2 linked regions of the Yarrowia lipolytica genome follow. The protein of the gene in region 2 interacts with the protein of the main gene of each other region in a pairwise test. Links are inferred from orthologs where the notes say so. Each region holds a gene or a part of one and is shown on either strand. Other genes may lie near its edges.

Region 1 (4,232 bases), on a different chromosome or scaffold from region 2:
GTGGCTCGCTGGTGCTAGACTTGCGGAATATGAAGTACAGACAATAGACGGTGTATGCGAGGATGAGCGACGACTCCAGCGAAGAGCCCTTGCGCGAAATGACACCGTAGCTGCTGAGGCAGAAGCCCAGCGTCAGCACCATGCCGGCAAGAGTGCCGGTGCTTAGATCCACCGAGTCCGTGGCAATGTAGATGCGGTAGAGATTGTATGCGGTGGCGGAAATGACGCAGCCCGCGGAAATGAGCAGGACAATTTCCCACGAATCGCTCTTGCGGTGCACGAGCCACTTGGACACCTGGCCAATGGTCTGAATGAACAGCAACGTGCAGAAGCCCTCGAGAATGTTGAAGAAGGGCGCGGAGCTCTGCATGAGCGCATCCCAGGGCATGACCAGCCGCTGCAGCGCCACAGGCTCATTGTTGTTGGCGGTATTGAGACTCAGGTAGAAGATGAGCAGCGCCGGAATGAGAATGGTATGCAGATAGTAGAGAATCTGCGCGACATGTCTCAGCTTGGTACGGCCACTAAGTATGCGGAAGGTGGACAAAATGAAATACGATACCACCAGCGTGAAGGAGAAGGCCAGGCCGCAAAACCGCCCCCCAATGTCAAACGACAGTGGGATTGTGATCATCACCAGCGTCAGGTGGATCAGCGAGTATGCTGCTCGAAACAGCGTTAGTATTGTGATCATAGGGAAAAGAGAACAGAACGGGGTTCTGGAGTTTGTGTGATTGGCGTGTTTGTGTTTGTGTTCACCAATTGTCTTGTTTCGGGTTGAGCCGTGGAGCTGTCGTCTATCACCGTCTGTGTCTATCGTCTCACTGTGTCGCTTCTATCACTACAGCCGAGGTATCAGGTCGCGGGCGAGGCAATGTGATGGGTCGTTTTGTGTCAGATTGTAGGGAGTTGCCAGGTTTCCGATTGCTTTGGTTTCGCTTCAACCGGCTTTTGTTTTGCGCTCGGCTAATCTCTCGCTCGGGTGTCTGTCTAACACTACTTGTAGTCTGTGATTGAGCTGACGCGTATGGCAAGCCCTGGCACAATAATCCAAATTCCAAATTTGCACACCCAACCGTATTGAGATAAGCTTTATTTTTAGTCAGCTCGGGTGGTAGAGATACCACGGAAGTAGTGGTGTGCTGTTGTTGTCAGGACACGTTAAGTGGGACGATTGAGTCGAATTGTCTTCCAATAAGATCTCTTTTCAGCCTAACTACCTCGGAGACTGCCCTTTCTCCTCTTATATGGACGCTCGGGTCTCTTTATTTTAGTCAGGGCTCGGGCTGAGACACAGTTAATTTTATGTGCATCTCCATACAGCGGGGACAGGGTGCAGGTTCAGAATGTGCTGGTACTGTACTCACACGAGTACAAGGGGGCTTGTGATTGTTTGAGGAGCCGAAATTATTGTGGTGCCAGATGATCGGCTCATTTAACGGTGCGCTAGAAGCGGGGTAACATCGTTATTATTACCCTTAGTCTGGACCCAGATGAGATCTATGGGTACAGCAGAAGGGGGTGCGATACGGGTATACGTACGTACATACAAGTACAAGTAGTGTCTGGCTGATGCTGCTCCCTCTGAGGGACAGCCTCCGTCGTGTCTTTCGCCGAGTCTCCGTTCGAATCCTGGTTGCGTTCATTTACGCATGTTGATAAAAAAATATTTTAGGCTTCTGGAATATGCAGTGGGAAAAATATCTGAGGATCAGAATATCTTACTCATACACGCAAGAATGGCTCGATCTCACAAAGTGACCAAACCCAAGCGCCAGCAGGTCGACACATCGGGGTCGTACAACGCCCTGATGGTGCTGATGGGCGACAATGTCAAAAAGGCTGAAAAACGGGTTGAGGAAGAGGAGCCGGTGGAGCAGGAGCTGGAGGAGGACGATATTGAAGGTGCTGGAGAGGAAGAAGAGGAGGTCGACGAGGAGCAAGAGGAAGAAGAGGATGCTGATGACGCCGAGGAGGACGCTGAAGATGATTCCGAGACCGACAAATACGATCCATACAAACTGCATTTCGAGGCTGAGGAAGCCAAGTACGTTTCTGTCATCAAGTCTGAGGAGTGGAAAACCTCGTCGGAGAAGACCAAGATTGGTAGCCAGCCCGTTCGAATCACATACACAAATCTGGAGGATGCCGACGAGCTGTTGGACTTTTCCGAAGCCCAAAAAACCGAGTTTAGCAAGTACACAGTTCGGCCCCGGATCAAGGATGGCTTCAAGCAGCTCAACGGGTCTCTGACGTCGGTACAAAAGGCCATTTACCCTTCACTCATGGCCTACCGGGATCTGTGCTACGCCACCTCGAGTCTCAGTGATACCGAGGAGTTTTCGCGGCTAGTGGCCATGCATATTGCTCAGCATGTTGTTCGAACGGCTGAAGAGGTGGCATACAACACACGTATTTTGAAACGAAACGCCGAGGAGGGAATCCACGACGTTGAGTTCCGGGATCAGGGATACACAAAGCCACGAGTGCTGGTGCTAGTGCCCACAAAGAACGCCTGTTTCGAGTTCATGCAACTACTGGTTGGCGCTTCAGGAGTCGATAGAGAAGATAACAAGGCGCGGTTTAACAAGGCGTTCCACGAGGCTGGCGCTGTGCTCGACACCAAGCCCGAGGACTTCCAGAAGGCCTTCAAGGGCAACACTGACGACATGTTCTGTCTGGGCGTCAAGCTACGAAACAAGAGCATCCGGTACTACTCGTACTTTTACCAGGCTGACATAGTATTTGCGTCTCCTCTGGGTCTCAAAACGCTTGTGGGCAGTGAGGGTGACTCCAAGCGGGAGTTTGATTTCCTGTCGTCCATCGAGATCGCCTACTTGCATGAAACCAACCACATGGAGATGCAGAGCTGGGACAATGTGTTGACGGTGCTGGGCCAGACTAACTTGCTACCCAACGAATCTCATGGCTGTGATTTTAGCCGAGTCAAGAGCTTCTATCTTGACGGACTAGCCAAGCACTTCCGACAGACCATTGTCGCCTGCCAGTTTGTCACTCCAACCATCAACTCTGTCTTTTCCAACACAGTCAACTTTGCGGGCAAGACCAAGATCACTCCAATCTACAACGGAGAGCTAGCAGTGGCAGGCATGAAGATCCGCCAGATTTTCACCCGGTTCAAGGCTCTGTCTGTGTCCGATGAAATCGATGCCCGATTCAAGGCCTTTGTGCAAATCACGCTTGAGGGTATGATTCGCTCGGGAGACTACTCCGGAACTCTCATCTACGTGCCCACCTACGTCGAACTTGTGCGTCTCAGAAACTACATGGACGAGAAGAACATTTCTTTTGGTGCCATCAGTGAATATTCTTCCATCACCGAGGTCAAACGACACCGAACGCTCTTCCGAGACGGCCGAGAAAAGATTCTGCTGTACACGGGACGTCTCCATCACTACCGACGATACTTTGTCAAGGGAGTCAAGTCGGTAGTTATCTATAAACTCCCTGAGAACCCGGCCTTTTACAGAGAGCTACTGCTGTTTCTGACCCACTCGGTCGATGAGGGAACGCTCGAGCAGTCTATGGCAAAGTGCAGAGCCCTGTTTACCATTTACGACCTGTTGGCCTTGGAGAGAATTGTGGGAACGAAGAGAGTGAAGACAATGGCAAAGAGCGGAGAGAGCAGTTATGAGTTTTATTAAACACATAACTCCCAGACCGAAGCTGCTTATACACCTAATGACGGATTCTGATCTCACTCATTTCTTTCCCGGGTAGCTCACTCTCTACAATCTCTTTTAAGACCACATATATAGACACTAATAAAGATACAACTGGTCGAGATCATGCGTGTACCCACTGTAACTTGTGAGAGAGCTACTGTATTTATATGTCCTTCGTTTCACACACGGCTAAACATGAGACTTTTCGGTATAGCACTCATGGGTTGTAGACACGATCCGTTTGATATAAGAATGCAACTATCATGTTCTTCTCGTATGATCTACTTGTAGTTAAGGTACTCTCAACTCCTCGTATCCGTTCTTCTCAGAAAAAAGGTCCTGCCTGTCCATTTGCACACCACAAACAAAGCCTCTTCTCTAACAGATAACCACTGCTTTTTAAAAAGTCTCATTTCTATATATCCACCATTGCTTATTTCTCTATTTTGCCATCTGTCGATGGATGTTAGTTGTAAGTTGCTGACTACTCAATCAACTTGCTGACGGCCATGGCGATGCAGCACAGGGACACGTACGGACTGAGTC
Region 2 (5,198 bases):
TCTCGATAGGGGGAAAAGACAGTGATTAATAATGACCCTAATATAAGCTATTTGGTTCATTCTGCTATTCTCTGTGCCGCATCGTACCCTTCACCTGTCATCACTATAAGTACTGGTGTCTTCTCATACAATGCTTGTGGTTCCTTTGCTGCATATTTCACAGTGGCTGTGTGGCGCATGACGTAATATTATAGTGCTGTACAAGTATACACTCTACAAGTAGTACAAGTTCAGTCAGGATACCATGAACTTCTGCCTACAAAGGTACATTATACTACAAGACGTATTATCAACTGAACTGTGTATTGGCTGCTTTGGTCACGTAATTCGAGTGCTTGTTGTAAACGTGGTCTACAGTAACTACAAGCGCGGTATCATACTACCTTGTAGATGAAGGATAACTACGCTTGAACTTGGAAGTAACAATGTCTATCATTACTGTTACCTTTGCTATACCTACTGTATGGTGTACTGTGACACCTTCTCATCATATCTCTACTCCAGTATCCAAAAACATGCATTATTCTAACATTTTCCACCCAAACAGCCCTTATGGGTTCTGCTTAGTATCCAACTCGCAGATAGTTGATGACTCCCTGGCAGTACTTGACAATATCCTCCATTCTGTTGGACTCGTGCTGGTTGAGCTCCTTCCATCTGGTCAACGACCCCTTCAGAGGCTCACAGGGCTGCTGCTGAACCTCGTCCTCCTCTTCGTCCTCAACAATCTTAGGGTTGAGAGCAGACATGATAACGTCTCCATGGCAGCGCAAGAACATGTTCATCCATGCCTGGCCCAACTCGTAGTTGGTTCGCTTCTCTAGAACAGCTGCCATGGCGTCCACAAACGCAATCAGCTCGGTGTATGGAGCCCAGGAGTTGAGAGATCGGATCTCGAGATCGGTCTGGGCAGGAGACATACCCGCCAGATGGTCAATGAACTCATGGTACTCGCCGGACTGAGCAGCCTCTCGGAGAAGACGAGAAAATGCAGATTCTCCAATAGCATCGAAATTAGAGGGGACAAGTCCATCGGGGCATGAAGTAGCCTCCTCGGGCTTCTTGTCGGCACCGGTAAGCTGTAGGAAGAAAGGAGCCTGCTCAGGAGCCTTGGGGGCCTCCTTGGGCTTGTTTCGCATCTTGATGGTGTCCAAATGCACAAGAGTGTTCATCTTGGAGGAGGGAGCAAGAGACAGGGTCAGCAGAGACTCCTCGATCTGGGCAATCGAAGCAGCCAGACTCTGATCCTCTGTCTCGGTCTCCTCAAAGGCACCATCCACAACCGAGGATTGAGCCAGAGAGCCGACGGCATCAATCTGGGCAACCTCAGAAGACTCAATCTCGGGAGCAGGAGCAGACGAAATGTCTACAAACTGGCCCCGGTTGGACCACAAACACACACCGTTTCCGGTCACGTGAGCTGTGGCTAGCCAGTCGCCGTTTCTGCTCATCTCGACGTTTGTAGCTACAGTGTCGAGTCGAATAACATCGATACAGGCTCCAGTCAGCAGATCCCAGGTGCAGATGGTCGAGTCGAGAGATGCTGAAATAACCCACTTTGCATCGGGAGAAAAACAAATGTCGGTGATTTGGTTGGCGTGTCGGCCCTCCAGAACTCGAACCACTCGCTTGGTGATGGTGTCGATGACCACGACGGAGAAGTCGTCCAGAGCACAAGCAATGAGATCTGACGAGTCATGCAGAACCAGCTTGGTGATAGGAGCAGCGAGGGTCACAGTCTCGAGCAGCTTACCAGTGTGGAAGTCGTTGAATCGCACCTTTCGGTCCAGAGAAGTCGTGATGACTTCTCGGTTCAGCGAATCAACCACGATGCCTGTGATGGCCTTCTTCTTGGGGGTACCCTGTAGCTTGCGTCGCAGGATGCCTGACTGCAGGTTAAAAATGTCAACGGATCCAGTAGCAGATCCAACCACACCAAAGTTACCACACTGAGTCACAGTCACAGTCTGTGCGATGCCACCATCTGAAGTGGGCAATCTGTGAGCTCCAACTCGTCCTCGGTGTCCGTCCCAAGTCTGTGCCCAGTTCTCGCCCTTGTGAGTTGTCAGAATCGAGTCCCATTCCTGCTGTCTAAGCGAAGTCTGGGCTAGAGAAGTGACAGGAGGAAGTTTGACACGCATCTTTTTAGAGGGTCCGGCAGCTCGAGTTTTGCTGGCGAAAGGGTTGTTCTTCTGCTCCTCCGTGAGCTTGGACACCTGTGAGAATTCCTGGTTCTGAGCATCCTTTCGGAGCGAGAAGCGCCACATGGACGCGTCTCCGGAGGCTGAGACCAGAAAATGGGCCTCTTCGTCAACAAACTTGATCGATGTGGGGGGCGCACTGTGACCAGCTCGGTGTCTGAGGGCTCGCGGAGGTGCAATGACTGTTTTGTTGGACTCCGACATGACTGGATCAAACACCCATTCTCGCAGAGAGTTATCTCCACCGCATGTGAGGAAAGCTGGCATTCCGGGCAGGAAGACCAGCGATGTGATTCCTCCCTCACTCTCCTCGTGAGTCTCTCTCAGCACGTGGAGACGTTTCTGGGAATTGAGGTCAAAGAAGAAAGCATCTCCGGAGGCGGTTCCGACACCCAGATGGGCAAAGGAGTCCGACCGGAACGACAAGCAGTTGACCCGCGAGCCGGTGTGAAAGGCCATGAGTCGCTCACCCAGCTTGAGGTTGTAGACGTGCACCTTTCCGGATGCAGTTCCCACTCCAATGTAGTTCACAACGGGAGCGTCAACAATGGCGGTGATCTCGTCGTCAGATCCAATCTCGTTGGTGGAGAAAACAACTTTGCCTGTTCGAATATTCACCAGCAATAGAGACCGTCGAGTTGCCACCACAATCTTGTTGAGGTAGGTGGGGGGATGGATGATGGAGTGCGCAGCTCCCACAGAGTTGGCGAGAGTCACGGTGGTGTAATACTCAAACGGAGGGTCCAGCTCGTCTCTATCTTCCTCCTCGTCCTCGTCGTCAGACTGCTCCTCCTTCTTCTGGCCTCGCTTGAAGACAAAGATCTGTGAGCTGTTGATGGCCACCAGGTTCTCTCCGAAAGATCGCACACACACTAGCTTGTCCTTGGTGTCGCACTCCAGCTTGTACAGTAGCTTACCACGGAAGTAGACGCCAATACAGTTGTCCCAGGTGGCATAAACGTAGGGTCGGTGGAAATGAAGCGACTGGATGGGCGCGGGGGTCTGAGGAGAGGTTACAAACATGAGATGGAGCGTCGAAACATCGTAGATCTGAACGGCTCGGCCCACACTGCATGCAACCAGGAAGTTTCGGCCGAAAGATGACACGGAAATAGGTGTGGAGTTGGCAACATGTCCAATAGTCTGTGTTAGTTTGGTGATGTTGGGTGTAGTGATGGGGGTGTAGTACTCACTCTGAAAGGCGTGAAGATCTTAGAGGGGGTTCCGACAAGTCTGTCACGCACAGTGACCTCGTCAGACTCCACTCTTCGCTTTTTTTCAATCGCAGGCATCGTTTTAGAGCGGGTGTCGGAACGCTATGATTTGTGTGATGCAGCTTGGAAAAAAATATTTGGGTCGTGCATGCCAGAAGTTTATTTGGATGGGTCATAATCTGTACAGTATATGAGGATATGTAAGAAGTTAGGATGAGATGCAGAAATGATAGTAGAAGTATACCGAGAGTATTCTTCGTGTTCTTTTTTAGTGATAGTGGAAATAACTGGTTCTGTTTATATTTTCAAGTTGGGCGATAGAGTTCGGTTTCAAGTGAAGGGAAATTTTTGTTGGATTTTTAGTTGGTACTTGAAGGACTGTCTATGAAAAATGTACGTACGTACTATAAAAATAAGTACTACTTGTGGTGGTGTTTATAAAATACAATAAAATAAAATAAAATAAAATAATGCTCCTCTTTGTGCAGCTCTGTAGCATTGTTAGCATCAGTAGTGGACACTCGACTCTGAAACATCCGAAAGGCTTTATATATATAATATATATATATATATATATTATATAATATATATATTCTACAAGTAGCACATAGAGCACTCAAAGTACAAATAAGTACATACTGTATATCATACTGTATGGTACTTACAGTGCTCTGTCTCACTACAAGTGTGCTCGTAACAATTACTTCTAAGTAAGACGTGCAAAACTATATCGGAAGATCCAAATTGGAACGACTGGTGGAAACGATTAATAACAACGGGATGTGTGCGACCCAGCAACTTGAGATGCCGACACTGTCTATATAGAGCCCTCCTTCTACACCACTGTAACATTTGGCCTTGCGCTCACGATACGTCTGTCTTCTTTGCATGTGAGCGGCAACGAAACTTTGGCTCCACAATAGCGAGCACGTGGATAGATACAATGGAGTAGATTGAGGGGACTGTAAAGCCACTATTGTGGGGTATTATAGTAGGTGGGAGTTTATTGAATTGGAGACAGACTGAGAATTGGTCATTCTATATCTCAATCTGTCGATATCACCCAGTATATATCGGCTTAAGGTCTTCTGTGCTATGCTATATCAACCCACCAAACAAGGCGAAGCTGCTGCATAGACGATCGAGCTGTGGAGACGGTATCGTACAGTAGATAACCGGAAGAACTCAGATGGGGGTGGCTTGCCAAGAGTATACGTCACTCACTCATAAAACAAAAGAATAACTACAAGTGGTCTAATCAATTTTACCACTCCAAAAACAGCCAGAGAACATTTCCCAATCAGCTGCTTGTAGCTCCAGTCCAGTAGAATGGCTCGCTGCACCACGCTGCCTATGCATCTGGTGTTAGCCAAAACCATAAGCAGCGAACAGCACAAACGGGAGTATTAAAAGTTGTTTTACCAGAGACCGATGTCGGATCTTAAAAGGTCAATCGCTGTAAAACTTCCTTTGAAATCGATTTCTTTTTTTTTCATCTTTCTACCCCCTCTCCTTGTCATCCAAACTCCACCCCAGAATCATTGCTTCGATATTCCCAATTGTCGAGCGCAGCATTAGTCTGAACCCTAAAGCTGATCTCGTCGACATCGGGTCTACCTCTCACACATCTTCACACCACCCACCACACCCCCCCCCGTGGAAAAATGTTCAGAACCGTCTCCGACCGTGTCGGCCTCGGCCCCCGCATCCTCGTACGAGCCCTCGGACTCGTCCATCTCCACGTCGTCAATAAAGGCTGCTGTTGAGGGCCGAGCCCGACGGT

Evidence for each region.
Region 1: the proteins of YALI1_B17908g (region 2) and YALI1_D04969g interact in binary tests that used the Saccharomyces cerevisiae proteins (3 or more experiments, as listed by UniProt). The link is inferred for Yarrowia lipolytica from reciprocal best matches to the Saccharomyces cerevisiae genes UTP21 and UTP25.

What each region holds. Positions count from the first base shown.
Region 1 is NC_090773.1:494,359-498,590, reverse strand, and holds YALI1_D04969g (uncharacterized protein), read left to right. Parts: upstream 1-1,652; coding exon 1,653-3,665; downstream 3,666-4,232. Other genes in the region: YALI1_D04978g (uncharacterized protein), read right to left, coding at 1-694; YALI1_D04936g (uncharacterized protein), read right to left, coding at 4,171-4,232. UniProt on the Saccharomyces cerevisiae protein: DEAD-box RNA helicase-like protein required for pre-18S rRNA processing, specifically at sites A0, A1, and A2.
Region 2 is NC_090771.1:1,787,470-1,792,667, forward strand, and holds YALI1_B17908g (uncharacterized protein), read right to left. Parts: upstream 3,494-5,198; coding exon 3,395-3,493; intron 3,345-3,394; coding exon 564-3,344; downstream 1-563. UniProt on the Saccharomyces cerevisiae protein: Involved in nucleolar processing of pre-18S ribosomal RNA and ribosome assembly.